Linked DNA regions of Rattus norvegicus. The protein of the gene in region 3 interacts with the protein of the main gene of each other region in a biochemical or structural test. Links are inferred from orthologs where the notes say so. Each region holds a gene or a part of one and is shown on either strand. Other genes may lie near its edges.

The links.
Region 1: the proteins of Bmpr1a (region 3) and Bmp4 form a complex in vitro, tested with the Homo sapiens proteins (3 studies listed by BioGRID and IntAct, with this or other methods). The link is inferred for Rattus norvegicus from reciprocal best matches to the Homo sapiens genes BMPR1A and BMP4.
Region 2: the proteins of Bmpr1a (region 3) and Bmp7 form a complex in vitro, tested with the Homo sapiens proteins (2 studies listed by BioGRID). The link is inferred for Rattus norvegicus from reciprocal best matches to the Homo sapiens genes BMPR1A and BMP7.

Annotation. Positions count from the first base shown.
Region 1 is NC_086033.1:22,095,759-22,106,427, forward strand, and holds Bmp4 (bone morphogenetic protein 4 precursor), read right to left. Parts: upstream 6,176-10,669; 5' UTR 6,170-6,175; coding exon of another isoform or gene 6,045-6,169; intron 4,996-6,044; 5' UTR 4,989-4,995; coding exon 4,616-4,988; intron 3,613-4,615; coding exon 2,759-3,612; 3' UTR 2,589-2,758; downstream 1-2,588.
Region 2 is NC_086021.1:182,129,841-182,140,233, forward strand, and holds the start of Bmp7 (bone morphogenetic protein 7 precursor), read right to left. Parts: upstream 5,307-10,393; 5' UTR 4,883-5,306; coding exon 4,468-4,882; intron 1-4,467. UniProt on the Homo sapiens protein: Growth factor of the TGF-beta superfamily that plays important role in various biological processes, including embryogenesis, hematopoiesis, neurogenesis and skeletal morphogenesis.
Region 3 is NC_086034.1:9,744,999-9,754,903, reverse strand, and holds part of Bmpr1a (bone morphogenetic protein receptor type-1A precursor), read left to right. Parts: intron 1-661; coding exon 662-854; intron 855-1,269; exon of another isoform or gene 1,270-2,013; intron 2,014-2,962; exon of another isoform or gene 2,963-3,007; intron 3,008-3,906; coding exon 3,907-4,204; intron 4,205-9,258; coding exon 9,259-9,434; intron 9,435-9,905. UniProt on the Homo sapiens protein: On ligand binding, forms a receptor complex consisting of two type II and two type I transmembrane serine/threonine kinases.

The DNA.
Region 1 (10,669 bases), on a different chromosome or scaffold from region 3:
ATCTCCTCACATTCAAGTTCATCTCCCCCTAGGCCTCCTCACTGGGTTTCAACAAGAGTCCAGAGGGTTAAAGCCGATCATGGCACTTTGTTTTCTATGCTAACATTTGTGGCACTTGGACTATTTTGTTAACTAGGTATATGCAATTCACAGAATTTCACGGTAAATTCCCCAGACCAAATATTTGGCTGAACAAATAAACAACATTATCCATTCCTGAAAACAAGCCAGTCGAAGGAGGTTGGGGGGCGGGGTGGGGGGGGGAGTGATTGCTAGAAAACGACCTGAGCTGACAAGTCACCAAGCTAGGACCTTCGGTTCAAGTGCTGGAGATCTGGGGCTGTCTTCCAATGACATGTGCCTCTCAGAGATTTGCTGAAGACCAGGCAAAGCAAAATGAGGCCTCCCAAAGGAGAATCCACGACGGGCTGTCCCCCAGAGGCTTGATTCACGCTCCATACCTTTACTGTAAGGGGCAGTGACCCTTGGGGCTGGAGCAGTGGGAAAGCTCTCTTTTGCAAGGAGTCTGGAGGTGCGGTGGAGTCTTGCTGCCTTCGCCCAGGGCTCTGATCTCCTCTCTCCACCTGCGCTCTCCAGGGAGCTGAGGCTTTGGCAAGCACCCCACTTCTATTTTTATTGGTTTCCACTAAGCTGCTCCTTTTTGCAGGACTGTAGGACTTCAGTAATTAAAAACAAAAACGAGTCCTGCTTCATCCATCAGACTTCCAAAAGCACACGCAATACTGCGTGTAAAAGAATTCAGGGAGGTGCACGCACGACGCACAGAGAAGGCTAAACTGCCCCTGTGCCTTGTGTCTGACACAACTCCCAAACAAAACAACCTTCACCTTCAGAGCGATGCAGAAACAGAGGAATGCCCTTTTCCTGGCCCTTTGCAGAGGACCAGGATCCCCACTGTTTCTACCCTAAATTATTCAACTGGAGCAGGGAGAAGGAGCTGAACTGACTAGGACTTAATTTAACTCTGGTAATGAGAAGTCAAAGGCCTCTCTTTTGTTTCCCTAAATTCCTACAAACATACCCTTTGGAAAGCTCCTTCTGTCCTTAACTGAAGGGGTCTCCCACCTCTAAGCCCAGTGATGTCTTCTTCCCACCTTTTCTTCCTTTTGTTTCTTTCTTTCTTTTTAAGACAACAAAGTCTCATTTGTCCCAGGCTGGCCGGAAACTTCCTCTGTAACCGAGCATGACCTTGAACTTGTGTTCCTTTAGCCTCTACTAGAGAGCTAGGATCACTGGTGTGTTCGTCACCTCTCCCACCACACCCTGACTCCAGCAGGGAATCACACCCAAGGTTTCCTGCACTCCAGGCAAGCCCTCTGCCATCTGAACCACATCTCCAGCTAAGATCATTCCTTTCACTGAGCCACCAAACGAGGCTTTCTCCTTGAAGAACCAACCCCTGCTGCAAACTTCAGTTCCACAGGACAGATCGTACTCTGGCTGGTTCTGGAGGATGGTGGAGGAGCTAGCACAGAAAAAGACAAGAGATCCATGACTCAGTAAATGCCGAGAGGAGAGATATCAGAACACTTTCACAGGCGGGCCCGCTTCAAAACTCTTGTAGTTCATCTCATTGCCAACTCCCCTTCCCTAACACAATACTGGGATTCTGAACTTGAAAGAAGGGGAAGGAAGGATGAAGGTTAACAGCCCCTTAACACTGAAGCATCCCACCACACCTTATATGTCCAGAGTGGTCACTAAATTATTTCAAGGTAGGACCTATTATTGTTATGAAATCCAGCTCGAAAAAAAGAAAAAGGAAAAAGGAGAGAGAGAGAGAGAAAGAGAGAGAGAGAGAGGAGAGCTTTAATCCCAACATTTGAGGGACAGATCTCTGTGAGTTTGAGGCCAGCCTGGTCTATATAGTGAGCTCTAGGACAGCCAGGACTACATAGTGGGACCCCTGTCGGGAGGTGGGGGGGGGAAGCCACTAAACTCAAAGCCCTGTTTGAAAGGAGACCTTGTATGTATGGATTGGATTTGGTTCAAAAGGAGAAAGAGGCCTGCCAGTACTGAAGACACTCCGGGGTATCATGAAGCAAAAGGTGGGAATGAGTCTCTGAGAGTGGAAACCTTTCTCCACAGGGTTGAGGCTCTGACACTCTACAACAGGTGAGCAAAGCCAAGAAGATCCAGAAGTCCCAAACCAAATTCTTTTTCATCTGGCTATTCCTTTCATCCAGTTTCTGCATGGCATGTGTCATCCAGATGGGAGAGGGTGCTGCTTCCTTGTTAACATTAAGTAAGAATGGAGAGCAGTCGCCATCTCGCTGCCATCACTTGGCTCTGGGCCCCCACGGTTTAGACACCTCCAGTTGCCACCTCTGACTTTCATCAGTCTACCCCCAGCCCCATCTCAAAGTAAAACAAAAGGACGGAATAGGAAATAAGATAGAAAGGCCGTAATGTATCTTTAAAATAATGACTCATTTTATTTTCTTTTAATACGTAGTTATAAATATATTTGTCAAAATATATGATCAATATGGTCAAAACATTTGCACGTAAAGTCATAAATAAGGTCAAGGTGGGTGTTTAGGGTTGGTTTTTTTTTTTTCCTTTTCTGTCTTTCTTTTTCTTTCTTTCTTTTTTTCTTTTTTTTAAGATAAAAGTCCAGCTATAGGGAAGCAGTTTGTGTGGTATGTGTGGGTGGTCGGATGGGCTTTGTGTGTGTGTGTGTGTGTGTGTGTGTGTGTGTGTGTGTGTGTGCATCCGTCCTCCGGACTGCCTGATTTCAGCGGCATCCGCACCCCTCCACCACCATCTCCTGATAATTTTTCAACACCACCTTGTCGTACTCGTCCAGATACAACATGGAAATGGCGCTCAGTTCGGTGGGGACACAGCAGGCCTTAGGGATGCTAGAATTAACGGAGTTGACCAGGGTCTGCACAATGGCATGATTGGTTGAGTTGAGGTGGTCCGCCAGTGGAAAGGGACAGTCCCCGTGGCAGTAGAAGGCCTGGTAGCCCGGTGGGGCCACGATCCAATCATTCCAGCCCACGTCACTGAAGTCCACGTAGAGCGAATGGCGACGGCAGTTCTTATTCTTCTTCCTGGAGCGCTGTGGGTGATGCTTGGGACTACGCTTGGCCCTCCGGCGGGTCAAGGTATGACCCCGGCCATCGTGGCCAAAAGTGACCAGGAGGGGCCGGAGTTGGGCCCAATTTCCACTCCCTTGAGGTAACGATCGGCTAATCCTGACATGTTGGCCCTGGTGGGTCCGTGTCTGGTGGAGGTGAGTCACCTCAATGGCCAGCCCATAGTTGGGTTGCTTTTCCCGGGTCCATCGAAGGACTGCAGGGCTCACATCGAAAGTTTCCCACCGTGTCACATTGTGATGGACTAGTCTGGTGTCCAGTAGTCGTGTGATGAGGTGTCCAGGCACCATTTCTGCTGGGGGCTTCATAACCTCATAAATGTTTATACGGTGGAAGCCCTGTTCCCAGTCAGGGCCCTGGTCCACCTGCTCCCGAAATAGCCGGAGCTCTGCAGAGGAGATCACCTCATTCTCTGGGATGCTGCTGAGGTTAAAGAAGAAACGAAAAGCAGAGCTCTCACTGGTCCCTGGGATGTTCTCCAGATGTTCTAGGCACAGTTGAAAAGGGAAAAGAAAAGGCCCATGAGCTTTTCTGAGACAAAAAAGAAAAAAGAAAAACAAAAAACAAACAAACAAACAAAATAGGGGAATTGGTTGAACTCTGCTTGTAGTGGAAACCTAAGGGGAGGAAATTACTGTGCCTTTTAATGGGAAGGCAGAGAAACGGGGCAGCCAGCAAACCAGCAGAACTCAGCTCACATTTGTCAAGCACCAAAGACAGAAAGTATCTCCCGAGCTCCTTTATATGCCTAATAATTTCCATGTGTCAACTCTTTTACTCCACCACCCTCGGACTCCCCTTTGAAAGCCCCCCTCTTGGCTTTGTGTACAGTTTTCTTTACAAGTGGTTGTAAAGAAAAAGAGGGGCCACCCTCTCTCTCTCTCTCCCTCTCCACTTTCGAGTATGTTACCAAACATTTCCCCAGCGATCCTGGAAACACAGAGCATGCCTTGTTGATCATGTTACAGAAGGGAAAATAAATTCCAACACAGTAATGATGCTGGAGGATTAATAACTCAGATTTACTTTGGAAAAGAAACATCCGCTAGGAAACATTCAGATCGTATTACAAGGCCCCTATTGAATAAATCTGACAAACACACAGCTGTAATATTAAATTCAGTAGGTGCTTTGAACAAAACGGGCAGAAACCCCGGCTTTGATATGGCTAAAGCACACCGCTGGGGCTAGCCCACGTCTGAGTGGTGTCACTCCGCTCCTCCTCAACATCGCCCCCCCTCCCCCATCACCACCACCACTGGTCTCCAGAAAGTACCTTCAGAGGCTGCGCTCTGGAAAGTTGAAGGTAAGTGGCCCTGTTCCACAGCCTCCAGGACTTGGAGCTTTGATGTAACCTGAACTCTTCTTCCCCAAGGGCTTCCACAGCCCCTTCAGCTTGCCCTGCCAGCTACCCCCCCCCCGCCCCCCTCCGCCGGGGCCCGGGCGCTCCACCCCACCCTACGCCGCCAGGACTAAGAGCAGAAACTGACCTTCGTGATGGAAACTCCTCACAGTGTTGGCTCTGCTGGCAGGACGCTCAGGGTACTCAAGCCCGGTTCCCTGGCTCTGCTCTTCTTCCTCCTCCTCCCCAGACTGGAGCCGGTAAAGATCCCTCATGTAATCCGGGATGACGGCGCTCTTGCTCGGCTGCGGACGGCGGCGCAGCCCAAACATCTGCAGAAGTGTCGCCTCGAAGTCCCGCAGGAGCTCATGGCTCTGCCCTGAGCGGCGTCCTCCCGCGTGGCCCTGAATCTCGGCGACTTTTTTCTTCCCGGTCTCAGGTATCAAACTAGCATGGCTCGCGCCTCCTAGCAGGACTTGGCATAATAAAACGACCATCAGCATTCGGTTACCAGGAATCATGGTGTCTCTGGGGAAGGGGAGGGGGTGGAAGGTTAAAGAATAAATAAATACCGATCAATAGCGAGAAATAGAGATGTCTCTGCATATGCATATAGGGATAGCAACCGACGGCCAAGATGTAAAACAGGTCCGAAAGATCAAGTTTGTGTTTTCTCCCTCACACCCTCCCCACACACACACACCAGCTGCAGCCATGCACGGCCCGAAAGTAAGAATCGCCCTGTAATTACTTGGTCTAACTTGTTTACACTCAAATAACCCCAAATCAGATAGCCTCCATCCTGTCCCAACGGCTATCTGAGCCATGATCTCAGCGTGGCTTCTTCAAGGATAAACAGTTAACATTGAGGGGGTAAAAGGGGGGTGGGGGAGGGAGAATTAAAATGGCATCGCTCTTCACTTCGGACCTTCAGCCTCCCCCTCTTCCTCCACCACAACCCCCCGCCCTTCCTCCTCCCTCCAGCCCAATTTCCACAACTTCCAGCTGGTTAAGAACAGGAGGAGGGGAGAACAGAGCAGCGACGACCGGGCTTGGACCAGGCAGCAAGGTCCAGTGGCTGGGAAAAAAAGTCAGGGGGGTTGCCCCAGTGACTTTGTGATTTATTTCATTGTGGTCGCTGCGTTGAAAATGTTCAGGAAAAAGTCTTGTTCCCAGGGAAGGGTAGGGGTGATTCCGAAGCGAACACGGGTAATTTTTTTTTTTTTTTTGACATGAGGCAAAGAACTGGCCTTCCCAGGCTAGTGGGACCGGACTGGGAAGGGAGTGGTTAGCCCTCAAGGGACAGCCCGGACCTGCGGACCTTTCATCTCTTTGGTCCTTCGCGTTCCCCACTTTCTTGCAACGCAGCGGATCAGAGAAGACAGTGGGAGCGCTTTAGAAGGACCCCGTACGCTTCGAGCGTCTGGCCTTCAGGGGCCAGGAAAGAGAGCGACAGCGCTGCCTGAGAGTGGGGCGCGGACATTGGAATGGAAGTCCGACGGGAGGGACAGACAGCGATCAGGGGTGGGAAGACAGAATGAAATCCCAAGAGGGGGAAAGAAGAGGTGTCTACTCACTGACAGAAAACAAGGCATATAATAACAGTCCATGATTCTTGGGAGCCAATCTTGAACAAACTTGCTGGAAAGGCTCAGAGAAGCTGCGGCAGTGCGTCGCTCGGAATGGCACTACGGAATGGCTCCTAAAATGAATATTTGAATATAATGAGACTCTGGAGCAGACAGGCTCTGTTTTTCTTCCAGCCCCTAGGAGTCACGTGGACCCAGAGGCCCCGCCCCACTCACCGAAGAGCCCGCCCGCCCCTCCTCCATCCTCCCACCCCGGCTGGGTCCAGCCCCTGCGAGCGAGGCCAACCTCCGCGCCCGCAGCTGGAGCCCCAGCCGTCTGGGAGTTGTCCCCGCCTGCTCGGAGGAGCTCTCGGCGGGACACCAGCCGCTGGCGGGGTTCTCCGTCGTAGTCACTGCACGCAGGGGACGTGGGGCACGTCTCTACCTGCGGCGCGCAGTGCAATGCATCTGGCCAGGTTCGGGGACCGGTTATCTGAAGGTTGAGGGATCAGGGTGCACTTGAAGACGCTTCTCTTTACAGCGCCGACACGGCTTAAGTGCAGCCGAGAGGGCGACCGAAAAGACAGTTCCTTCAAAGCCTCACGACCGAGAGTTACGAGAAAAGGAAAACGCGTAGGGACCCTCCAAGAGCGCGCGCACACACAGGCAAACACACTCGCACACTCCGGCACTTCCTCCACAGGGTCTCCGAGAGGCCAAATAATGCTTCCAGCGACAGGCGCCGACCCCTAGCGGATCTAACTCCCAGCCAGAAGACTCTGACCCCGTCGCCAACTCAGTCTGCCGCGGGGGTGTCAGGGTGTGAGCGGTGTGGGAAAGTCAGAAGGAGCGGCTTCTGAAGCACTGTCTAGTAGCCCCGCCAGAGTCCCCGCACCGTGTCTGCCAACCGCAGCGTCCGCTCCAGCCAAGCAGATCCTTCAGAAACCGGTCGGCGGTGCCATTCAAGGCGGAGGGGGTGGACGTCTGGGTTCCTAGCTCCAGACAGATTCCAAAACAGGCGTCGCCGAAGAGAGAGCGCGCATCACATTTTTTTTTTTTCAGATCTCAGAGTCGCAAAGGCTTTACAACTCCGACCCGGCGCGGAAAGGAAACCCCAGCGCGATCCCAAGCGTCTACAAACCCGAGAACAGCTTTCGGCCTGCACTCGACCTCTCCCTCCGGCTTGGCTTACTTTTTAAACCACCCCCACCCCCACCACCCCCCACCCCCGCGCGCGCCACTTCCTTCCCCCCACCCCTTTCCTCCTTTGCACCAGCTACAGAATCGCAGCAAAGATTCCTCCAAGAAATTCACCAACACACAACTCAGGCAATGACGGGGGCGGGGGCGGGGGGTGACCTGACTATCCCAAGATGCCACACACGTGGGCCTGTTCTAACCTCAGGAAGCGCAACTCTTCTGTTCAAGGAGGTCGTTGCGCGGGGTCCATCCGAGGAGGACCCGAGTCCCGGGACTCCCGCTCCAGAGCCCGCTCCACCCGGCCTCTTTGCCTCACTTAGGAACTCGACGTGTCCGGCTGCTTTCCAGCCTCACCGCCCCCCGCCCCAGTTTTCGGGACGGGGAAAGCTTTCGGGAAACCTTTGAGAAAGAAGTGTAAAGGATGGAGAGTCATGTCCTTCCTGGCGGTGGTGGCTGCCAAGCACCAGCCCACACCGCTGGCCTGGGTGCAGAGACCGCGGGCGCCCCTGAGCGACAATCCGCTCTCACCACCAGCCGCGCAGGTTTCCGAGACAATTTCTCCTTTCCCCGACCAGCGTCGCCGCTGGGAATAACTGGGAAAGCCCTGGAAAGGGCAAAGGGCTTCTTGTTGATGTGTTTATTTGTTTTTAAGGGGAAAGGAGATGGAGATGTGCTAGTGACTGGCGCACGCGGAGCGAGGGCAGAGTGGAACGGGCAGACGCTCGGGGTCCCGGGACAATCCTGTGCCCTTGGGAGTCTGGCGGTGTGGGGAGCGCTCTCGACGTTAAAACCCAGTAAAGAGGCGAAGGAGTTGTTTCAATTACAAGTTCACAAGGACCCCCCTCTAATCACTCTTTTCTTCCCTGATTTTTTTAAATTAAAAAAAAAACAAATTCAAGTTAATTTTCATCTCCTAGTACTCTTTTTTTCTTAATGGGGTTGGTACAGCTCCTGGCGGCAGTTACCCTTCACTTTCTTCCCATAATCTTCTCCCAAAGCCAAAACTTAATATTAGCCTCAGTTTACTGAATATGGCCCTGTTAGCGATTCAACATCTCACAAAACCTTCAGCTCATAAAACGAGATATTCAAAAACTATCAGCCAAAGCCGTGGCGGGAAACTTTCCGAGTCCCGGGGGGTCCAACTACGCTGCGTTTTTGTAAGGACCCCGCAATCCCCGAACCCTTTGGGGCATCGTGAGCCAAGAAAGCTCCTCATTAGACCTGCCGGCTCGTCCCCACCGACACAACACAGCAGAAGACCCGCACAGGTAGCCTTCGGGCATCCTGGCCAGGGCCCGTCGAACCTTACACCCCCTCCCGGGGAGGGGGGGGTTGGAAGGGAGGCTGAAGGCAGAATGCATGGGTGCCCATGTCTAAAAAAATAACTCGTGGAGATTGGAGCGAGTTCTGTAGCTACAGTTCGCTAGCTCTCCGGGGAGGGGGGCGCGTTGGAGATGAGATTAGGTGACACCCCGCTCAAGGAAGCCCCTGTATCCCAGGTCGCGCTTTAGAGCCAAGCAAGACTACATCTTTTTTGCAAAGCTAGCTCTGGCTAGGTTTTCTCTCCCGGTGTCGCAGTCCCTCCGTACCCCTCTCGTGTTGAAACTGAGTTGACTCCCTCCTCTCCCACTCTTTTAGTCTAGGGGGAAATCAAACCCACCAAACCCCACGATTCTTCCCAATGACCTCCATCCAAGGCCTTCTCTCCTTCCCGCCTCTCCTGGCCGGCATCTCCCTGAAAGTAGGTTGGATGGACGTAGTAATACATATGGAGGTGCCTTTCAGCCCCATCATCCCACCTCCAACACTACTGTTGGAGAAGGAAGGAGGAATAGGCCAACTTTTGCCACACTTACAGCCTGAGCCCATCCCAGCTATGGTTGCACCTCGAACCCTCAAACGAGCGCCCCTTGCCAGGATGCCATACTCACCATAGGTTCCTGCAGAAGCGGGCTCGCCCGCAGCTGCTCCTGGGGACCTCTAGACAGCTGCAGTGAACCTGGTCGAGGGCCAGAGACTGGATCGCTGCAGGCTCCAGACGGTTTGGACGAGAATCCCATTAGGGACGGAGACCAGATACTCAGACTGGGTAGCAGCGGCGTCTTAGACTAGGGTCCCTCAGCTCGGATGCCGAACTCACCTAGCTTCCGGGCCAGGCCTCGCGCTCCTGCCTTCCCACCCTCCAGCACCACCCTCTCTCATCTACTCCTTCCTTCTCTTTTCCCTCCCTCTCTTTCTTCCCTTCCTCCCCAGTCTTTCCCCAGCGGCCCCTCCTTTCTTCCCTCCTCCCTTAATCGCCTCCCCTTCTGGGGATGGGAGCCCCGCCCACATCCTCCCATCCAGCCACGGGGCCTCGCCTCGCCTCGCCTCGCCTGGCAGGCCCGGGTCCGGAAGCCTGCACAGCGCCCCAGTCCTCAGTTGCCACCTTGGCTGGGACACCGATGCCTCCAGCTCGGGAAGCAGCCAGGGCTCACCTGGGGACCACGTGCAAGAGGTACTAGAAAGCGTGCACCAACTAGTCTCTGTTCCTTCCAAAAATACCCATGGGAGTCTGGGCTTCCCTGAGTTTAGAGTAACTGCTGCCCAAACTGATGATTAAAACACTGAGTAATCACCATTTACCCCGAGTAATTAGAGATAATGAAACACCTCTAAAATCAGGTTATGGAGAAGGGAGCTGTTGGATTGGTTTAAAGGGTGGCCTTCCGTAAACTGTTAAAGGATTCCCAAACGTTGAGAAACAGGCTGCGAACAGGGCTGTGTGCCCGAAGGAGATACCTCTTCAACTATTAGGAGGTGACTTTCCCCCCAAGAAAACATTCTTTAAAGATGTTTCTTGTGGAAACCCTTGGTGCTGACACTGAGAATCGCACCCCCTTAAACTGGATGCCCTCCATCAGTTCCCCAGGTCTAACTTCTCAAAAAGCACAAGGCGATTTGCAGGCACTTGGCAGGCAAGCAGGCCCAGGCCTTGTAAGACAATTAGAAAAGCATATTTATAACTCCGAAGCCTTCTTAACTGTCAGGTGGTTATTTTTGTTTGTTGGTTAGTTTGTTTGGGACCTTCCGGGAAGGTGACCAAGAGAAGCAAGTGCTTTTTAGGCAAAGTAGAGAGGAGAAAAAAAAAAAAGTGCCTATTGGTCCCTTTTTAAAAGAAGGGAGAAGAGGAATTGATTCTTTCATAATAATAGCAACAACTGTTGGTAATTGTACTATCTGATGGGAGGTGGAATGTGGCCCGCTTTTAAACCTTCCCAAATGGGAGCTAATTTCACTCACTGCCTCGCAAGGCGATGGCAAGGCGCTGTGAAGGAACTATCAGCTTCATCTTTGTTTTGACAAACAAGGATGGGGAGGGAGAGCCAGGCTAAGAGCCCTTGCCCAAAGCACTGAAGGAAATCACAGCTTCTGCTAAATAAAGCTAAAGCTTC
Region 2 (10,393 bases), on a different chromosome or scaffold from region 3:
AGAGCGCTGTGCAATTCAATATATTGATTTTACCAGTGGGACTTAAATCTTTTATAATAAGTGTACACAGCTGCGGTTCCCTCCCACCACCTTGCTCTCCCGCTAATCCCTGAGTGCATTCCTTCTGACAATAACAAGACAGATCCTATACATCCCTGCCTGCGCCCTGACCCCAGAGACGCGGCGGAGCGCGCGAAGGCAAGCCGTGCAGTCTCCAGCCACATCCCCTGTGTGTCCACGGGCCGCAGCCGTGGCCGCGGAGCGCCAGACCGCTGCTGGGAGGAAAGTGTTCTCCAATCCACAGCTACACGGAGGGGCAGGGCGGGAAGGGTGGGGAAGGCAGCCGGAGGACACTGTGAGACTCGATGAGGGCCAAATATGACCTTAGCAAGTGGGGTGGGCGAGATATGAAAGCGGCGGGGTCATCAATCAACCTCCACGGGACTCTGCCTGGGATGAAGTCATCACTTGTCCCCCGGTTCAGCAGGCCTATGACATGTGCTCACGGGCGTCCGCCCCGCTGTGCTCATCCAGGCAAAAGCTTGCAGGCTGCCACCAGTCGCGGCTTAGGTAGGGCCCCAACCCAGTTCTCTGGAGCTGGGTCTCTGAGGGTCTCACTTTCTTCTCTCCACGCAGGAAAACAATCCACCGGTCTCCTCCGAGCCACCTCCCACCTTTCAAGGGAACCCGAATCCGCCCTGGGATAAAACCCCAAAGCAGCCATCTGAGCTGCCATTCCGGGCCCCAGCCTTAGCCTGCCTTGACTGCAGAAGGGAAATACACACAAAAGATCCAAAACAGTTCAAATCTGGGTCACATAATATCCTTGGGAAAAGGGGAGGGGGGAATCTTTGATTTATAGATCCAGGAAAATGAGGTTTAAAAGTGACTTTGAAAGGGTTCCTGAAAACACAGCTGTGGGTACACCCCTATGGTGAAGTTGATCTAGAGAGAGAGGGAGGGAGGGAGGAGGGAGGGGGAGAGGGAGGGAGAGGGGAGAGAAGGTGAAGGGGAAATACATGTGACATCTCTATTAACCTTCTGCTGCTAACCAAAAGGGTTGGAATGTGAGGGAGCCCCTTCCAAATTCTAAGGCGGGCCAGTTTACAGCTGCAGGCTCCGCAGCCACTCTCTGTGGCGCACTCCCCAAAGGATGCCTTTAAATTGTAACAGGACCTTTCCTTCCCCTTCCCCAGTGGCCTGATCTGTTCGGAGGGTTAAAGGAGAGATCTTAGCGCCAAACACTTGTCTCCAAAAGGGACAGCCAGATGGGGGGTAAAGTGAAAAAACAAACTGCTAGGCCTCACCTCTGCTTACCAGAACAAGTTAACAAAAGCCACTTCTCTGTGCTGGCTACAGTAATGACGGGGTCCGAGCAGGCTCCCTTTTCTAACTTAGCTTCGAAGATTAAACAAATTTCATTCCTTCCCAACCTGGCCCAGGAGATAAACAGCAGTCACATACACCCTCTCCAAGCCGGTTGGCTTTCTAGAAAGATTCTGAACAGGGCTTTTGGCTTCCCGAAGAAAGAATAGCTGGGGTTAATAATAGCTAGGCCAGGTCTCTGCAGGATCAACTTTGCCTGGGGACTGTTTGAGAGAGTGTGGCCTGTTTTGAATTCCAAAATGAAGTCTACCCAGAGGAGTAGGGGGCTTGTTAATCCAAACCAGTTTACAGATCTTGTCATTGAACTTCGGGGCCAGAGCCAGGAGGATGGGTGTCCCACGCTAGCCGGCTTTCCCAGGGACTTTATGGTTCAGGCTGGTCTTTGTCATCTGGGGCAGTCAAGTCCTCACACGCAGCACCTGGTTTTGCTGTAAATTTTCCTCTGGTGTGGATCCCACTAGGCCTGGCAGACTGCTCGAATTCCAGGGAGAACAACTTACAAGAACAAAAACCAGTTTGGCTGCAGACAGGAGGAGAGAGGCAGTGGATCTGCAAAAGCCTTCAGGGTTGAGGCAGGGGGTCCCCCAAGCAGGCAGGCCTGAGGGAGAATGGCGGAGGTGTGTGGGCAGAGGTGTGTGTGGAAGGCAGCCAGGGGGTCCGGTCTCTGGCACCAACACCAAATGCTCTAAGGGTGACAAGGGGTGGTTTGACAGGAACCAGGACCTTTTCTCATTCGGGGAGCAAAGGGTAAGCGTGAACCTGGCATTCTAAAACTTGTCTATTTCTGACCAGACTACGCTTTCTCAGCAGCCTCAGTGTGGGGATGAGTCTCTGGGGGTCGCTACACCCTTCTTCAACCCAGCTGCCATCCCCAGGTCATAGCAGCAGGAGCAGGAGGCCTATGCCTGTGCTGTGGCCCAGCAGAGATTAAAGATGCACCTACAGGAAGCTCTTAGCAGCTACAGTCTGGGGCTTCCCCTAATTACCTCTAGCTTAGCGAGAGAAGGAGAGAGAGAAAACAAGACCCTATCCCTGGGTCCTGTTAAAAGCCACCCTGCTATCTAATTAGGAGTGATGGTCCAGAAAGCCATGCCTGAGAAAGGACAGTCCCACAAAAGCCCACGGCCAGCCCCACTGATTAAGAGGCTCAGACAAGCCAGGCTTTGTCCTGTCAACATGAAAGAAAGAACGGACTGAAAGAAAGGTGTGTGTGCAGCCAGAGGAAGCCACCCAGCTGTGGCCTCCCCAGCAAGCCCCAGCTTGTACCCGAGGGAGGCCGGGGCTTGGGGGTGGGGAGCAACCGCCCCTGCCAGGTTCCCAGCAGGGCCCTGGGAGCTGCCCTGGAAGCCACCTGGCCCTTTGGGATGAGGGAAGCCAGCTGGGGCCACACGGCCAGACCTGAAACACAGAGACTGGCACCAAAGTCTGGGATTATCTGTTGCAGCTCGATGGACCAGCTCTGAACTGTCAGCTAGGACCCACTCACTGGCTTCCTGGAGATCACACCGGAGAACAGAAGAGGCCATAAGCCCTGACCCTCACCCAGGGCCTTGTTATGCCTGCCTTCAGGATAGGTTCGCAGATCCACGTTGACCACATACTGCTAAGTCTCTATTGAGGAGTCGACTTTAGTTTTTGGTAATAAATCCACATTTTTTTTAAAAAAATGGACGCAGTGAAAGGCGGCCTCCCTCTCCCAGCACACCAAGCCCTACCCCCAGGAAAAATCTCTTTGCAATTGGCCTTTCCTACCTTCAGGGTTTGGAGGCTATCCCAAAGCAGGACCTCTTCTTAACAAGTGTCTGAGGAGAATTTGAATTTGCTCTGTAATATTTTGTCAGCTCTATCACAGGCCTTTACACCCTGACCCTTGCTTGATTCATTATTTGACACTTTTTGATCTTAAATGGAAACAGACAATGGTCTCCCAGAAGCTCCAAGGCCTTTATCTGGAGCTGAGAGGATTAACGTGGACCCTTTCTTCCCGGAGATCCCTTCAGAGCCCCAGGTGCCCAGTGAGAGAGAAAAGGGGGGGGGGGTGGCCTTAAGCTTCATTATTTCCAGGTTGACGGGCGCCCATGGTGTGTTTGGTGTCTTGACTTGGGGTTTTCTCAGCAACTTCCACAAGCAGAAGAAAAGTGACTCAGGAAACAGCACTATCAGGGTGTGTTATCACCAAAGCCAAATATTTGATGGCCAGCCCCACAGCGCACGGTTGGGGGTTAGTTTGAGCAAGTTAGATACTTGTGCGCGCACAGATGCAGGGGGAGCTGTCTCAGACCAGCCGTAACCCAGCCTCGCATCCCTTGGTTGGCTGGAACTACAGTATGGAAACGGTTTCCCCAGCCATTCCATGGCGGCCTCTGTTCCGAGGTCCCCAGCCACCCAATCGCCAAAACCCGTGGTTTGCGCGCCACACGTGATAAACGCTGAAAATGGATTCTGCCCGCCCGGGACCTATCATTAAATATTTAAAATAGAAAACTCGCAATGGCAACGTTCTTTCCCCGGCTCCAGCCGAGAGTCCAAAGGTGGGCGACTGGCGGCTAGGAGAGGAGCCCCGCGACACTCCGAGCGCGCGCCGAGAAGGCGCACCGCAAAGGGACAGGTAGGGCTGGCCAGAGAGGGCAAGGAAAGGGGATGTGCGAGATGCCAGAGCCAAGCTGGGCTCAAAGGGGCGGAGGAAAGGCGGGAAGGCAGCTTTACTCTCAAGGGCCCTTTAAATCCAGGTAGCGCGGGCCGCTGAAGCCGGTTCAGCTCACATGACCCAGCCGGGCGCTTTGAACTAAGCCGCTGCCGGGCCGGGACCTCCCGCCCCTGAGTGAGATGAACGCGCGGCGGAGCAGGCAAAGAGACTCAGGGCAGGTCCTTCCCTCTCGGTACCCCCCACAAACCCTCCGAGCCGGCAAGACTCAAAGACTCACAGAGCTTAAAGTTTACCAAGACCCGGGGGCAAGAGTCTCTGGCCGGCACTGATGCTTTGCAAATGGGAAGGTGGACCACAGTGGTTGAAAGCAGGCACCCTCTCCCTGTCCCAAAGTAGCCCTGGTCTGAGATATATCACCTCCTACCGCCACTCACCTAGGTTGACGAAGCTCATGACCATGTCGGCGTCGGTGAGGAAGTGGCTGTCCTGCAGGCTGGCCAAAGGGGGACCCTGGGTACTGAAGACGGCCTTGTAGGGGTAGGAGAAGCCCTGTCCGTCCGGCCCACTCTCCTCCACCGCCATGGCGTTGTACAGGTCCAACATGAACATGGGCGCCGAATTATGTTTTCCCTGGAGGTGCGGGCGCGGACGATGGGGCAAGCCCAAGATGGACAGGATTTCCCGCTGCATCTCCCGCCGCTCCTGACTGCGGAGGCGCCGGTGGATGAAACTGGAGTGCACCTCGTTGTCCAGGCTGAAGTCGGCCAAGGCAGAGCGCAGCAAGAACAGAGGCGCCCAGAGCGCCACGAAGCTGTGTGGCGCCGCAGCGCGCAGCGAGCGCACGTGCATCGCGCCGGCTCTACGCGCGATCCGGGGCACCGGGCCCGCGCCGCCCCAGGTGGCAGCGGAGGGGGCAGGGCAGCGGTCCACGACCCGAGGTCACTTGCTGCAGACGAGCTTCACCGTGGCCTCGCCACTCATGGCCACTCCCTGGCCCGCTGCGCTCTGCCCGAGACGCCCCAGTCCTCTACTCAGTTCTGGCCCGGGGCCCCTCGGCCCGCACTCGCCAGGACGCACCGCAAGGCTAGCACAGCAACTCCAGAGAGAGAGCAAGAGAGCGAGGAGGCGGGCCGGGGTGGGAGGAGCAGCAGTTTGCAGACCTTCAAGTCCGGAGAGCGAGTGCCGGGGAGGCAGCAGGGCGCTGGGCGAACCCTCGCTCCCTCCTCCCACTCTGCTCGCGCTCGGGCCCGCGGGCACCAGCGGGAAAAAAAAACCCTTCCGATCTCCCGCGCCCCAAACAAGGACCCCAGGTCGCTTCTCCAGTCCTGCGCGCCCCAGATCGCCCGCCAGCCGCCTCGGGAGCCCCGGAATGGGGCGCGCTGGGGCCGAGGAGTGGGGGGAGGAGCAGGAGGACCGACTTCCCCGCCCCTCCCGCTCCCGCGGCCTCCCACCTGCGCCTGTCCCCGCCCTCCCCAAGCCTGGCCCAATGGCTTCATTCATTCCTCCCAGGGCGCTCTACAAATATTTACCGAGTGCCCACCGGGTGTCCGGCACTGGGACGGACGCCTCAGGGGCGCAGAGAGAGGAATCCGAGGCTGCAGCCCTCTAGAGACTCGCACTTGGAAGTGGCCAAAGTGTAGCAACTATAGGCTGTGCTAGGAAAGCATCCCGGAGGGAGCGCAGGAATCCGAGAAGGCTCCTCGGAGGTGGCCACTCTTGGACAAGGCTCATCTTTCGAACCTCCCGAACACTTCATTTGCTCCAGTCAAGCAGAAACACCCGCCCACCCCCGCCCGTACTCCCACCGCCTGCCAGCTTCGGCTGCCCTGGCTTTTGCTCCTCAGGGAAAGTTCTCTCCCTGCCCCTCCCCCTCGGGTGCCACTTCCTCTGGTAACCTTCCAGGACCGAAGATAAAGTGGAGATAAAGTTGTTTCCTCCTACAGACGTTACTTTTATTTTCTGCACTTCACTCCCCAACACACACAAACACACACACACACACACACACACACACACACACACACACACACACACACTGTCATCGTCGTCCTCCTCCTCCTCCACCTACCCCTACTCCTCTTCCCTCATCCTCCTCCCTCCTCCTCCTCAGGTTCAGCACCCAAGGGATCCGGTACAGGTACTTCGAGGCTTTTTTTTCCCCTAGTATTTTTGAACTGCGGATCCCCAGATGTTGCAGCTCTGCAGAGTTCATAAGTGAAATCTGGGACTAGAGAGTGCTCCCACCCCCTCCTCTTGGGGGGGTCCACCCACCCCTTATCCTGGCACAAGGGGCCAAAGCCTTACTGTCTAACAACCCTACCCCCAGCCCCAGGTAGGGCCTGAGGAGTAGGGAGTTGGGCATTGTACCCAAGTTCAGGACAACCCCCCCCCCACACACCCACACTGAATTTTCCTGTCGCAAAGGACTAGCCTCCCTCTCTTCACAGAAAGAAAGGACCCAGACAGATGCTGGAGCTCTCAGTGGATAGCTGCTCTTTAGAGCCTCGGTTTCCATTTCTGAAAAATGGGAGCAAAACAGCATTCACTCAGAATGGCAGTGAGCTGTGGGGTGGTAAGCCAGGCCTCCCTGCTCTGCTGAAGGCGGGCTCCAAGAATATCCATGGGAGTCTGAATTAAAGAGTGGCAAGAGGGGCTTGGGAAGGACCTTGAGTAGAGGGCTCCATCTTGAAGTCCTAGGGTGAAATGGGACAGCCTGGTCTTCCGGGCTTCTGGAAACAGAGATAGCTACCCTAGGGCTCTCTGGGCTCCTTGGGAGGATTTTAGACCATGTGGCTGCCTGAGGGGCCGCAGGGATGGCCCCAAAAGAGACCTGCAGGTCATAGTCCAGGCTGTGGACACCAACAGTACTGTGTCCCCTGCCAGCACAGCTCTGAGAGGCCCCTCCCTGGACCTGCTGTGGCTTGTGAGCTGAGGCCACTCAGGCTGTGAGCTGGAGACATGACCTCCAGTGACCAAGTTACAGTTCTTAATATTGAATAAACAAAGGGGCCCTGCCCTTACTTCGGAAGGCTGTGTGTGGCCTTCTGTGGCCAGCAGGAGTGCCACACATAGGCCAGGCAGGAGGACATCAGAGTGATCAAGCCAGTGTGGCGACCTCCATGACTAGCTGGTTCTCAGGCCCCCGGAAACATCAAGGAGGTCTGGGACAGAAGCATGGCAGTCTTTCCCGTTTCTTCTCTCTGAGAAGCATCAGAGCTCAGGTGGAGGAGGCAGCCAAGAAGGCAGAGATCGGACGCCTTGCTGGGCTTGGGTAGGGGAGGGACATGTGACCCATGGGCGGCCATGACAGGAGAACCACTGTAGTCTCTGTCCGTAAAACAGCACCCTGGGTCACTGCAGTCCCCAGAGAGACTGGGCTTCACAGATGAAATGACAAGCGGGACAGACAGCTTCAGAAGGAAGGACTTTCCTGAAAAGGTTATCAAGAAGAGCCCAGCCAGCAGGTTCCCCCAAAGCAGAATCAAGAGCTACACCAGCCCTGCCCAAGGTCTCTGCCAAAGAAGTCTCTACAGGTTATCTCTTCTAAAGTCTAGACTGACATCAGGTTAAGGTGTGCGGCTCACAGAAGCCTCCTAGTTCAAATCCACCCTCCATCTTTTGGAGCATCTCCCTAGCAAGCAAGGTGGGGGTATCCTGAAGGGAGGTGCAGGTCTGTGTGCTGCTACTTTGCACATGGAAAATACTCATTTGTCACGGGTTCTTCTTGGGTCCTCTACCAAAGACCCATCTCCTAGTGTGTTTCCTACTGGGCTCTCCCCTCCCCTTCTTCCCAACACACACACACACACACAGAGAGAGAGAGAGAGAGAGAGAGAGAGAGAGAGAGAGAGAGAGAGAGAGAGCAGATATCCCCTCACCAAGTACCTATTGGGCGAATGGCAATCAGGCAAACCAAACCTAAAAGGCCAATGTCTGAGGGGCGGACCATGAAAGGCCAACCTCTTCCTTCCCAGGCCCCTCTCCCAGGTCCCCACCTCCCAGAGGCCACCTCTTCTCATTCCTGAGGCTCCAGAGATAAGATTCCCTCTGAACTCCTACCACCCCAATTATCTCTCAGCCAAACCCTGGGGGAGGGAGGTCTCTTCTGCGCTTCCTCCCAGAGGAGTCCCCAAGACCTCACCCAGCTGTTTCCTGAGTGATAGAGCAGACAAGCAGGACAGATTCACCCCTGGAGCACCCAGAGAAGGCTTTGAGGATGCTTGGAGACAACCTGATGGGAAGGAAATGATAGCCTGGATCCTGGGAACCTGGGGCTCCACACTCAGAGCTTCCAGCTGTACATAGTGAAAGTAGAATTGGCGGGCTCCTGCCTTAGTTTTCCTGCCTGTAAAATGGGAGACTGGGATCATCCCATGGTTGCTTGAGGATCCAGGTTCCCCGGGTACAGAGGCTATCCTTGGTAAATGCTAGTTACCATCTGATTAAGACAGAAAACCCACCAAGAAGAAGCTCCTGGGAGTTAAAATGAATTAAATTTCCCACAGCAGCCTGAACAGAGACAGGAGCAAGATAGCCCAGAACAAACAGCCATGGCCTGAGAGGAAAGGAGGACCCCACCCCCCCCACCCTTTGGTCCAGGGACTTCCTGAGTAGCCAGGCCCTGACCCACATCAGCCCCAGCCCCAACAGGTTCCCCACCCCTTCTCGGCCAGGGCACCCAGCACAAGCTCCAGAGTGTAATGTGATCCCCCCAGGCCGCTCCACACCTGGGGTGTCATTGTGTCTGGAAGCTGCTCTCCTGCGGGCCTCCCTGCGCTGGGCAAGGCATTTTCGTCTGGAACACCACCTCTTCATATCCTGCAGAGGCGATTTTGACCCCAGCCGCTCATGTCTCCAAGGCAATAAAAAAGAAAAGAATTCTGCTGACTTACACATTTCGGAGCAAGGTGGGACCTCATCTTCGACTGCAAAGTCTCATTCCATCAGTGTGGGGAGTGCGAGCCCAGCCATGGTGCCCTGCACCCAGGGGTACAGGCAGTTTCCTCTGGCCCCACCCAACCTAGTCAAGGCCTGATGACCTAGATCTCAGACTCTTGGTCAAAAGCAAGGTCTCCCCACCCTCCTACCCTCCATCAAACCTGGGGTCCAAGACACAACTGCCCCCCACACACACACAGAGACACACACTCCTGTGTGCCTAGGACACCATCCCATATGGTAACTTACTTCAGCACACTGGCCGTGCCTTTCTTCCAAGCAAACGTTTCCCTACAGCAGCCTCTAAAACATTCTTTGCAGACTTTTTAAAAAAAATTAATTTATCTATCATATACACACCAGAAGAAGGCATCAGATCCCATTACAGATGGTCCTGAGCCACCATGTGGTTGGGATTCGAACTCAGGACCTCTGGAAGAGCAGCCAGTGCTTTTTTTTTTTTTTTTTTGGTTCTTTTTTTTTTTTCGGAGCTGGGGATCGAACCCAGGGCCTTGCGCTTCCTAGGCAAGCGCTCTACCACTGAGCTAAATCCCCAACCCCGCAGCCAGTGCTCTTAACCACTGAGCCACCTCTCCAGCCCCACTCCTTGCAGACTTAGACAGGAATAAGAAATTCTCCATCATCCATCAGCCCGTGGTGGCGCTGCACCTGAGTGGCAAAAGACCCCAGTTCTAAGGTGCATGAGGCAGGAGGACTGTGAGATCCAGGCCACGCTGAGCTACGCAGAGCCTATTGCCAGAAAGAAGGGAAGTGGGCCAGGGAGATAACTGGGTTGGTCAAGTGCTTCCCTTTCAAGTGTGAAGGGCTGAGCTCATCCCGGGCCGGCTGGCCAGCCATGTATGACCCTTTGCAACTGTGGTCCTAGCACGGAAAGCAGAAACAGAAAGATCCCGGTGCTCACTGTTGAGCCTGACAACCTATCCTGAGCTTCCCTTGGAAACCCTGACTCAGGGACAAAGTGGGCAGCTCCTGAGGGACATACCTGAGGTTGACCTTTGTGGGTTGATGTCTATATGCAGGTGAGGGCAGCAGGCACAAGGTAAGGCAAGGCCTGTGATTGGACAGTGAAAAAAGAAAGGCGGATGCAGTCTTTTTGAGAGGCGAGAAAGGTAGGAGAAGAACCAAGATGGAGGAGAAGGACGACCCAGATCCGTGTGGCTTTAAACAGCCACAGGTAGCCATGAATATCTCATAAGGGATGGATGGTTACAGGACAATGTGTCTTCTCTAGGTGGGACGTTTATATCAACGTCAGTTGGCTCTGAGTTTACTGTGTGAACTTTTGCAGGGTGAGAATGTACTAGTATAAATCTGATTGGTAAATTACAAGCCTCCAGAGTTTTGATCTTTACCCGGTTACTGGGAATTGTGACTGAGCAGAGTCAGCCTCGAAGAGAGCCT
Region 3 (9,905 bases):
TGTGCGCAGCCTCAGACAAAACCTCAGCACGGAGAAGAGGAAGTAGACATACAGCTCACCTCTGACCAAACAAGACCTGGGAGGAATTTGGGGAGGGAAAGGAATGATCAAAATATACTGTATAAAGAATCAAATTCTTAAAATTGTTAGAATAAGGAGAGTGTAGGTAAGTAGTGAAAACTGGGGCGGTGTCAGATCAGCTAGGATCTTGGAGGCTGAGTTGAAGGATTTTAATTATCATTTAGATTTCGTTGCATAGTAAATCACCTTTAACTCAGTGGCTTGAAGCCAAAAACATTTATTATTTCTCATAATTATGAGTCTGTTAGAAAGTTTGTTTTCGAGACTTGTGCAGCAATTGATAAACTATATCCCAGTTCATGGGGTTGACAGTTGGCGCGGTGCTTCATGAGAGCAGAAAGATAGGCAGGTTAAGATACACAGCGTCCGTGAGGACTACTTGTTGTACATTTACTACTCTGTAGTCCAAGGCCCAAGAGTGTGGGCAAGGAGAGCTCCCAGGGTGGCCGGCTAACCAGAGTGCGTGTTCACTGCTGCTTTTGCATGCTGTACACACTGGGGCTGTTTGGATATGCCAGGCTTTCTAATGGGATGACCTTAAAGGGTTCTTTTCATAAACTCTGTTTTTGTTTCTGTATAGGTTCAGCGAACTATTGCCAAACAGATTCAGATGGTTCGGCAGGTTGGTAAGGGCCGGTATGGAGAAGTATGGATGGGTAAATGGCGTGGTGAAAAAGTGGCTGTCAAAGTGTTTTTTACCACTGAAGAAGCTAGCTGGTTTAGAGAAACAGAAATCTACCAGACGGTGTTAATGCGTCATGAAAATATACTTGGTGAGTATCCTACAAGTTCCTCATTCTGGCAAGGTTCTCAGGGTGCACAGGAGAGCCTGCCATGTGCATATGGATTCAAATGTTTATGTAGCTAAAGGCAATCTAGTAGAGTTCACAGTGAACTAGAACTCTTTCCTGGATGCCGAGAAAGCATCTTCCTGCTCTAAACAACATTGAGCTTTAGAAGGACGGAAAAGGCTGCTTTACTGGACTTGTGGACTAATGGGAGCCAAGTGTTTGGCAGAGAACTTCAGTGCTTTTCTAGGGTAGCTTTAACTGCGTCGACCTTTTCCCTTTCGTCATTAGAAAAACCCAGTTCTGACCTTTTTTATTTCCAGTGTGTGACTTTATTGTGTTTTTATACCTAATACATCTTCCTCTCACCACCACCTCATTATAGAGTGGTGAAGTGCTATCTAATCGTTAGAATGGGGACAGATCTAGCTTTTCTGAGTTTTCTTTTCAGCTGCTACTTCATTATCTCTCTCTTTTTTCGGGGAGCGGGGATGCAGTGGGGAGGATCCCTGGTTCTTTATTAAAACCATTTCTTCTCAGTAGTGTTTTTCCATGGAGGGTGGAGGGTCCTGCAACAGTTCCAGAAGATTTCCTTGGTTTCAAAGGTGACTTTGCATATGACCAGGAGTTCTTCCCAAGATGGGAGGCTTAGCCAGTTGCAGAAGAGGGGCTTTGAGGTTTTTACTGAGGGGTATAGTGGGAGAGGCTGAGAGGCCGGGAGAGCGCAGTACTAGGGAAGGACTTGAGCTTATCCTCCAGTTGTCAGGCTGTTGGGGAATGCTCCCTTTTCACAAAGAGATGGCAGAAGGTGTGCCTTGGTTTGGGTTTGATTTCTGTCAGAGCGGGTGTCAGTGCTTCGGGTCTTGGTGAAGAACACATATCCAGATATCTGAGTGCCTTGGTCTTTTGCCTGCTTTTCCTTGTTGAGCATAGGATTCATATGGGAGCGAGCAGTAAACAGTGCTTCATCTGCAAGTTCTGTGCTGATTCAGGTCAGGATTTCTTCAGATCGGCATAATTAGGCTTTCTGCCCTCCACTTAAGGAGGTGGAAGCTTGAGATGACCAGATGTCCTTCTTGTCCCCACTTCTGGCAGATATGGATGCTATCCTGCAAATGTCTGTGGGAGTTCTATAGTTCTGTTGCTAAGAGACTGGAGATTCTGGAATTCTCATCTTTTAATTTGTAAAGTGCATTGCCCATTGCCATGTACAGACATTTATGTTCATTTCCTGTGGCTACTATAAAAAAATTGTCATAAGCTGAGCGGTTTTGTTTCTGTTTTTGTTTTTTTTTTAAGATTTATTTATTTTATGTATATGAGTGCACGGTAGCTATCTTCAAACACACCAGAAGAGGGCATCAAATCTCATAGATGGTTGTGAGCCACCATGTGGTTGCTGGGAACTGAACTTATGACCTCTGGAAGAGCAGTCAGTGCTCTTAACTGCTGAGCCATCTCTCCAGCCCAAGCTGAGTGGTTTAAAACATCAGAAGTATGGGTGAGTGTGATGGTACACACCTTCAATCCTAGCACTCAGGTGGATCTCTGAGTTCAGAGATAACCTGGTCTACAGAGTGAGTTCCAGGATAGCCATTGCTACACAGAAAAAAAAAATAGAGGAGGGTGTTGGGGGGAGATGGTTTACTGTTGAAGGGGTTGACTAGTTGGTTGGAACCTGAGTGTAGAATGTATTTAAAGAGTGAAGTTTGATGGTAAGATATGGACGGTGGAGATTCTGTTTAGACTCCTGGAACTCTGACCAATAGCCTAGCCTACCTGGCAGGGTTCCAGGCCAGTGAAACACTCGGGTCTCAAGAGTTGTAAGCAGGAGAGGAATGACCCCTCAGGTCATCCCTGACCTCCACATCTACTCACACTCTTATGTGTACGTGTTACCTGTGCACACATAAAAAAAGGGGAGCGACTGACCATCCCCTCAGCTTTAGGATCCAGAACTTTAAAATGAAGCTGTTGGCAGGACCATGGCCTCTCTGCAGGTTCCTTCCTGACTGAAGGGGTCATTAGTGTCCTTGGACTTACAGACAGCCCTCCTCTCAGTACTTCATAGAGTCTTTCTGACCACGTCATACAGAGGGACACTGATGCGGGGATTTGCACACAGTCTTCTCATGCATGGCTTCATGGAAATGTAATTTTATCTACAAAGACCCTTTTTCCAGTGTAACTTAAAATATCTATTTTTCAACTTGAAATTGAGAGCTTTTATTTTGGGGGTTCAGGGGTAGGGTTTTTTGTTCTTTTCCTGGCCATTAAATAGTCTTCCTCTGTAGCTCTGGCAGCCTTAACTCGTTCAGTCTTCCTGCCTCTGTCTCCTGAGTACTGGGATCACAAACTTGTGCCACCACTCCCTGGTAAAGAACCTTTTCAAGAGAGAGTCATGTAGGCAAATAGCACTTGCAGGATATCGTATAATAAATATATGGTTTTTCTTAGTCATATTATTATCACTGCTGTGATCAATGTCAGGGTTGTCATGTTAGCTGTATGTGGTAGCACATGCCTGTAATCAATCCCAGCACTCAAGAGGCTGAGTGGGGATGACCACACGTTTGAATATAGCCTGGACTACATAGCAAAACCCTGTGTTTAAAAATACTGTAAATCTAGACCTGAAAGATGGCCCAGTGACTAAGAACACATACTGTCCTCGCAGAAGGCCTGAGCCTGAGTGTGATTCCTAACACCCACGTTAGACAGCTCACAGCCGCCTGCAGCTCCAGCTCTAAGGGATTCAACAGCCCTCTGATCTCCTTCACTCACACACACACACACACTCACTCACTCACACATACACACTCACACACAAATTAAAAATACTGTACATTTATTGTAAAACTGTAGTGATGTGTATAAATCATAGGAAATGAGTCCTTGGTGATACTCTCAAAACATTTTGCCAGCCAGGTTAGGATAGTACTTTGTGTACATAGTAGCAGTTCATTCCCAGTGTCCTGATCAGTAACTGCCTGGTGTCTCTGCACACAGCTAACCTCTGAACTCTCTAACTAAACAGGTTTTATAGCTGCAGACATTAAAGGCACCGGTTCCTGGACTCAGCTGTATTTGATTACTGATTACCATGAGAATGGGTCTCTCTATGACTTCCTGAAATGTGCCACCCTGGACACCAGAGCCCTACTCAAGTTAGCTTATTCTGCTGCCTGTGGTCTGTGCCACCTCCACACAGAAATTTATGGCACGCAAGGCAAGCCTGCAATTGCTCATCGAGACCTGAAGAGCAAAAACATCCTTATTAAGAAAAATGGTAGTTGCTGTATTGCTGACCTGGGCCTAGCTGTTAAATTCAACAGGTAAATGATTCTTTGGAAATTCTTTTAATATCTGTCAGGTATTTATCCTCAGGTTTGGTTGTTTCTTTTTCTTTTTACAAAGCTGCATGTGACTGTACTTCTCTGGGGATTGTTATGGATTGAACCTGAGGTCTCACGAGTGCTAAGCACACCCTCTGCGGCTAAATGGCCTCCCAGCCTCTGCGTGATTGTTGACTTCCTTTTTTAAGCCATAAGATGCTTTATTTAAATAAGATGCTTTTATTTCACTTTACCTTTACTTGCTCTTTTTGCAAATATAGTTGTCCATGTTAAATATAAAGTAACCTAAATAATGGGCGTTAGGTTTGCTTCCAGTTCCTCTGTGTTTCTAAAAAGGTTATGAAGCTGGGAGTGGTGGGACGCACCTTTAGTCCTAGGACTTGGGAGGCAGAAACAGGTGAATCTCTGGGTTCCAGGACAGCCAGGGCTATACAAAGAAACTCTGTCTCAAAACACAAAGCAAAACACCACAACAAAAATGGGTATTACGAACATTATTGAATTTTATGCATATAAGTCTATTCTTGAACACTTGCATAAATATTTTTGTTGGGGGCTGGAGAGATAGATCAGCGATTAAGAGCACCCGACTGCTCTTCCAGAGGTCCTGAGTTCAATTCCCAGCAACCACATGGTGGCTCACAACCATCTGTAAAGAGATCCGATGCCCTCTTCTGGTGTGTCTGAAGACAGCTACGGTGTACTCATATATATAATAAATGAATAAATAAATCTTTGAAAAAAAAGTTTTTTTTCTTTTTTTTTTTCTTTTTTTCGGAGCTGGGGACCGAACCCAGGGCCTTGTGCTTGCTAGGCAAGTGCTCTACCACTGAGCTAAATCCCCAACCCCGAAAAAAAATGTTTTTTAAAAAAAAATTTTTTTTGTTGGGGTTCAGGAGTCCTCCCACAAACCACATGCATCAACACTGATCTCAGTCAGACAGGGATAGTTTATTGAGCACACACCACAAGATTGATCGATCACAGTTTGGGAGCTAAAGCTAAGTACCCCAAACCTTTCCCAGGACTAGCTTAGAGGTTAAAACTACAGTGAGCTCATGTGCAGGTGCCTTGACTCAAGGTATTTTAGACAAAGCAATTCATATTAGCCTTGAATTTGATGGGTCCTAAGTGAAGCTATGGTTGTGGAATTTCCTTTTTTTTTTTTTAAGATAATTTATTTAATTTTATTTTATGTGTGCTGGTATGAGACTTTCAGATCCTTTAGAACTGGAGTTACAGACAGTTACAAATTGCCAGGTGGGTGCTGGGATTTGAACCTGGGTCCTTTGGAAGAGCAGTTTTCTTAACTACTGAGCCGTCTTTCCAGCCTCCCTGGAATCTCTTAAGATTAACAAACCTCATAACATGCAGAGCATAACAGGGTCTGTGGTCAGCACGACCCTGCTCGAGTCAGGTTATTTCTCTGTGTCAATGATGGGCAGGCGTGTTATAGCAACATTGTGAAATAGCTGGCAGGCATGGGACAAAATGGCTACAGCTATGCCAGGTGGGCAAGCCTCATCAATTTTTATTCATAATAGATTTCTAGATAAGGGAGGCTCCTGGAGAGTTTCCACATAGTTACTTATGGCATATTGTAAAATAGTGCTTCAGAATGGTATTGTGTGTGAAAATAGGGGAAGATAATTAGGCACTTTCTTTCGATGTTGTTAGTTTTCCAAAACAATTAGAACTATAAAAATTTCAAGGAACTGTTGAAGCAGTTGTTTCACATTTCAGAATTCATTTAAAGCCAAAAAGTAAAAATACTAGTTTACTTACTAGTGGAGGGACTAGAGAGATGACTTAACAGTTAAGAGCACTTACTTAAGCTCTTACAAGGACCTGGGGTCAGTTCCTAGCACTCACATCAAGCTTCTCAAAACTACCTATAATTCCAACTCCAGGGCATCCGGCCTTCACAGACCTGCAGTCACTTGGAACATGTGGCCTCATGCGGGTGCACATACATGCACATAGAGAATGAATAAGTAATTGTTTTGTTGTTGTTCATTTTGAGGCAAGGACTCACTTTGTCACTAGGCTGATCTGGAACTCTGTGGACCAAGTTGACCTTGAACTCACAGAGGTTCTCTTGTGCCACCACACCTGGCTTTTTTTTTTCTTTTCTTTCTTTCTTTTTTTTCTTCTTTCTCTCTTTTTTTCTTTTGTAGCAGCAGCAGTAGTAATTAAAATTGTATGGGGCATCTTCTTGGTCATTAGCAGTGTTCTTTTTGTTGTTTTGAGGGGAAGTTGTTATAAATTCTAAGATTTTCTTTCCCAGCCCTGGCTCCCAGATTGACAACTCTGAGATTAATTATTTATTATTCAATGCTTAGGCTATAACCTTAGGCTCATTCCCTGACTAACTTATTTAGTCTATTCAAACTGTGCTGTGTCTACCACTTGATTAGTTACCTCTCTTTCAGTCCCAGCCTGCGTCTTTCTTCATGGCGCTCTCAGTGTCTAGTTCAAATCCTTCTTGTGCCTCTCTTTAGTCTCCTTTTGTTCTCTATTTCCCAGAATCCTCCCCTTCCTGCCAGTGTCCTACCTATTTCCTACAAAAGCTGATTGCCATAACAAATAAATCTTTTTTAAAAAGCAAGTTTAGTTAGTTGTTGTTTGGGGTGTGTGTGTGTGTGTGTGTGTGTGTGTGTGTGTGTGTGTGTGTACACGTACATGTGTCTATATATGGGGGTGTTTTGTTTTTCAAGTCAGAGTTTCTCTGGGTAGCCCTGACTGTCCTGGAATTGACTCTGTAGACCATCAGGCTGGTCTCAAATTTATATCCCCCACCTCTGCCCCCCAACTGCTGGGATTAAAAGTATGCACCACGACTCCTGGTTTTATTTTTATGTTTATGTATATATTGCATGCATAGATGTCTATATTCCACATTCAAGCAGTTCTCCAGAGGTCAGAAGATGACTGGAACGGGAATTACAGGTGGTAGGTAGTAAGCCACTGTATAGGTGCTAGAAATTGCACCCAGGTCCACTGGAAATGTATCAAGTACATTTAACTGCTAAACTATCTTTTCCAGTCCCTACTCCATTGTTTTTAATTCATCCTCACGTGAGTTTTCAGGACTCCTGTGAGCATGCAGCCTGATTCTTGCCAAGATAGAATACAAGTAGCCTCTTGCCTAAGTTTCTCTGTAACTTCATGAGCCAGGCCTCCGCTGTGTACCTTTCTCTCAGCATTCTGGTCTTCCCACTCCCATGAGGAAGCTCCGTAAGTCTGCAGGCTCCCCTGGCACGTCAGTCTAGACGCTTCCACGTTGTCCCCATAGCAACTAAAGGCATAGCAACCATATCGTCAGCTGTATTGTAGCAACAGCCCCACCCCTCCTTTCTGTGTGCTATTGACTGTTGCACATGCAGAAACTACAGGAGGACCTCCAAAATCCTGTTTTTATCATTCTAGTATTCCCTTGAGAAAGGGTCTCTCACTAAACTAGGAACTAGCCAGGTGGCTGGAAGCCCCAAGGAACCTTTTCTCTCTCGTACCTCCATGGCACGGATGTTACTGATGGCACACCCAGCTTGAGGGCTAGGGATTAAACTCAGGGCCTCCTGCCTGTGTAACAAGTATTCTTACCAGTGAGCCTTCCCTTAAGAACCAGCTTCATACATTGTTTCATGTTGCTGTGACAAAATATGACAAAAGCACCTTTTGTCTTTAGCCTTTAATGGCTAAACTATGGTGCCAGCCTAACAAAAGCAACTTTTAAGGAAGGAAAGAACTTATTTTGCTCATGTTCTCAGGGTGTAGTCCATCAGGATAGGGGAAACATTATTGGGGGAGTATGAGGTCACATTGTGCTGTAGTAAAAAAGCAGAGAGAGTTGAATGTGAAGTGGGGGTTCTCTTGTTTCTCCTTTTAACATTTTTATTCAGGAATTGAAGCCCACAGGATAGTATCACCTCATTCAAGGAGATCTGTCCTTCCTCTACTGAATTTCTCTGGAAATGCCCTCAGAAACAGCACACCTCCACCCCTGCCCCACCCCCATCCCTGGTTGCTTCCAAATCTAGTCAAGATGACAATGAAAATTAACCATCAGAGATGTTTTATAACAAAATACAATACCTTGTACTGGTTCCACTGGAAAGTGGTTTCTAGAACTTTCCAGTCGCAGTAACAAAACATTTATGTCTTCAAGTCTAAAATTCAGTGCAAACCCCAGAAAAGTAAAAAGTCATTTATTACTGACTATGTAGATATTACTTTGTTTCTAATATAAATAAATTGGATCCATGAGAAATAAATTTCAATTCTGCATTTTAATGTTAAACTTGTTATATAAAAATGTTGAAAATAAATTATTTTTCTTTTATTTTTATACTCAACTTCTCAGATATAATTACCTGTTCTTGTACTTGTCTTATATAAAAAATATTGTCATGCTTTTTTTTTTTTTTTTCTTTTTTTTAAGATAGGGGCATATGTAGCCCAGGCTGGACTGGAACGAGACATTTAGCCAAGGATGACCTTGAAATTCTGGTCATCCTGCCCTTACCTCTTCAGAGCTTAGTGTTAAGGTGACAAAAATGACTCACCACACTGGACTTAGGTGGTGCTGGGGGTGGAACTTGGGCCTCCTGTGTCTATACAGACGAGCGCTACACCAGCCGGGCCTCACTGGTGTTACCTCTGATAAAAACAGCTGCTTTGGTGACAGGTCTCAGCTGAATCTACGAAAGGTGTTTGTAGTAATCCAGTTTAGTGTGAAAGGTTGGTCAGCGATCTGTGGCAGACATGGTTCCAACGTCAGAATGACTGTCCCAGCTCCTGCTTGGGATGCTATGTAATATCAGCATTATGTAACATTAATTCTATAAAGGACTCATAACATTACATAACATTAAATCTGTAAAGGACTCGACTTCTAACACATCTGCCTTCAAGAGTTGATAGTAAAGAGTATAAGAATTTACATGTCCTCGACAGAAAAATATTTATAAGGATGTACAGAGATGAAGTGTTGTTTGGTCCTCTACTTGACCGCTGTCTTCCTCCTGTCTTAGTGACACAAATGAAGTTGACATACCCTTGAACACCAGGGTGGGCACCAGGCGGTACATGGCTCCAGAAGTGCTGGACGAGAGCCTGAGTAAAAACCATTTCCAGCCCTACATCATGGCTGACATCTACAGCTTTGGTTTGATCATTTGGGAGATGGCCCGTCGCTGTATTACAGGAGGTAGGGATTTGAACAGTGTTTCTAACTGTATTCGTTTACTTGTCGATTAAAAAATAATTACCTAATTTATATGTCACCTATGTCAGGGTTTCCCAGGACCACTCTCAAACCCTCTGGTTTCATCAGAATTATGCACATAGTTGTCTAAGGGGAAAGATGCCAAGAGCAGTCCTCAGAAAATGCAGGTTTCCAACAGCTCTCTTCAGTCTCTTCAGGGAGAGAGAGCATGCTTGGTTTCTCCCTTCCCTCAGCCAGCTGTGACAGGGTGAAGTGTTGTCGTCAGGGAAGCTCGGTGTGCCTGCCATGTCTGTTGGCTCTGCTAGTGTGTACCCCAACTCCAGCCTCTCAGAAGAAGGCGGATACAGCATGACAGCACTGTCTGCAGTGACCATCAGCCAGAGGGCACGCAGAGTGCCTCACATTCGGGTCCTAGACAGTAGGCAAGGCTCACCACAGTTTCCTTTGTAAGAG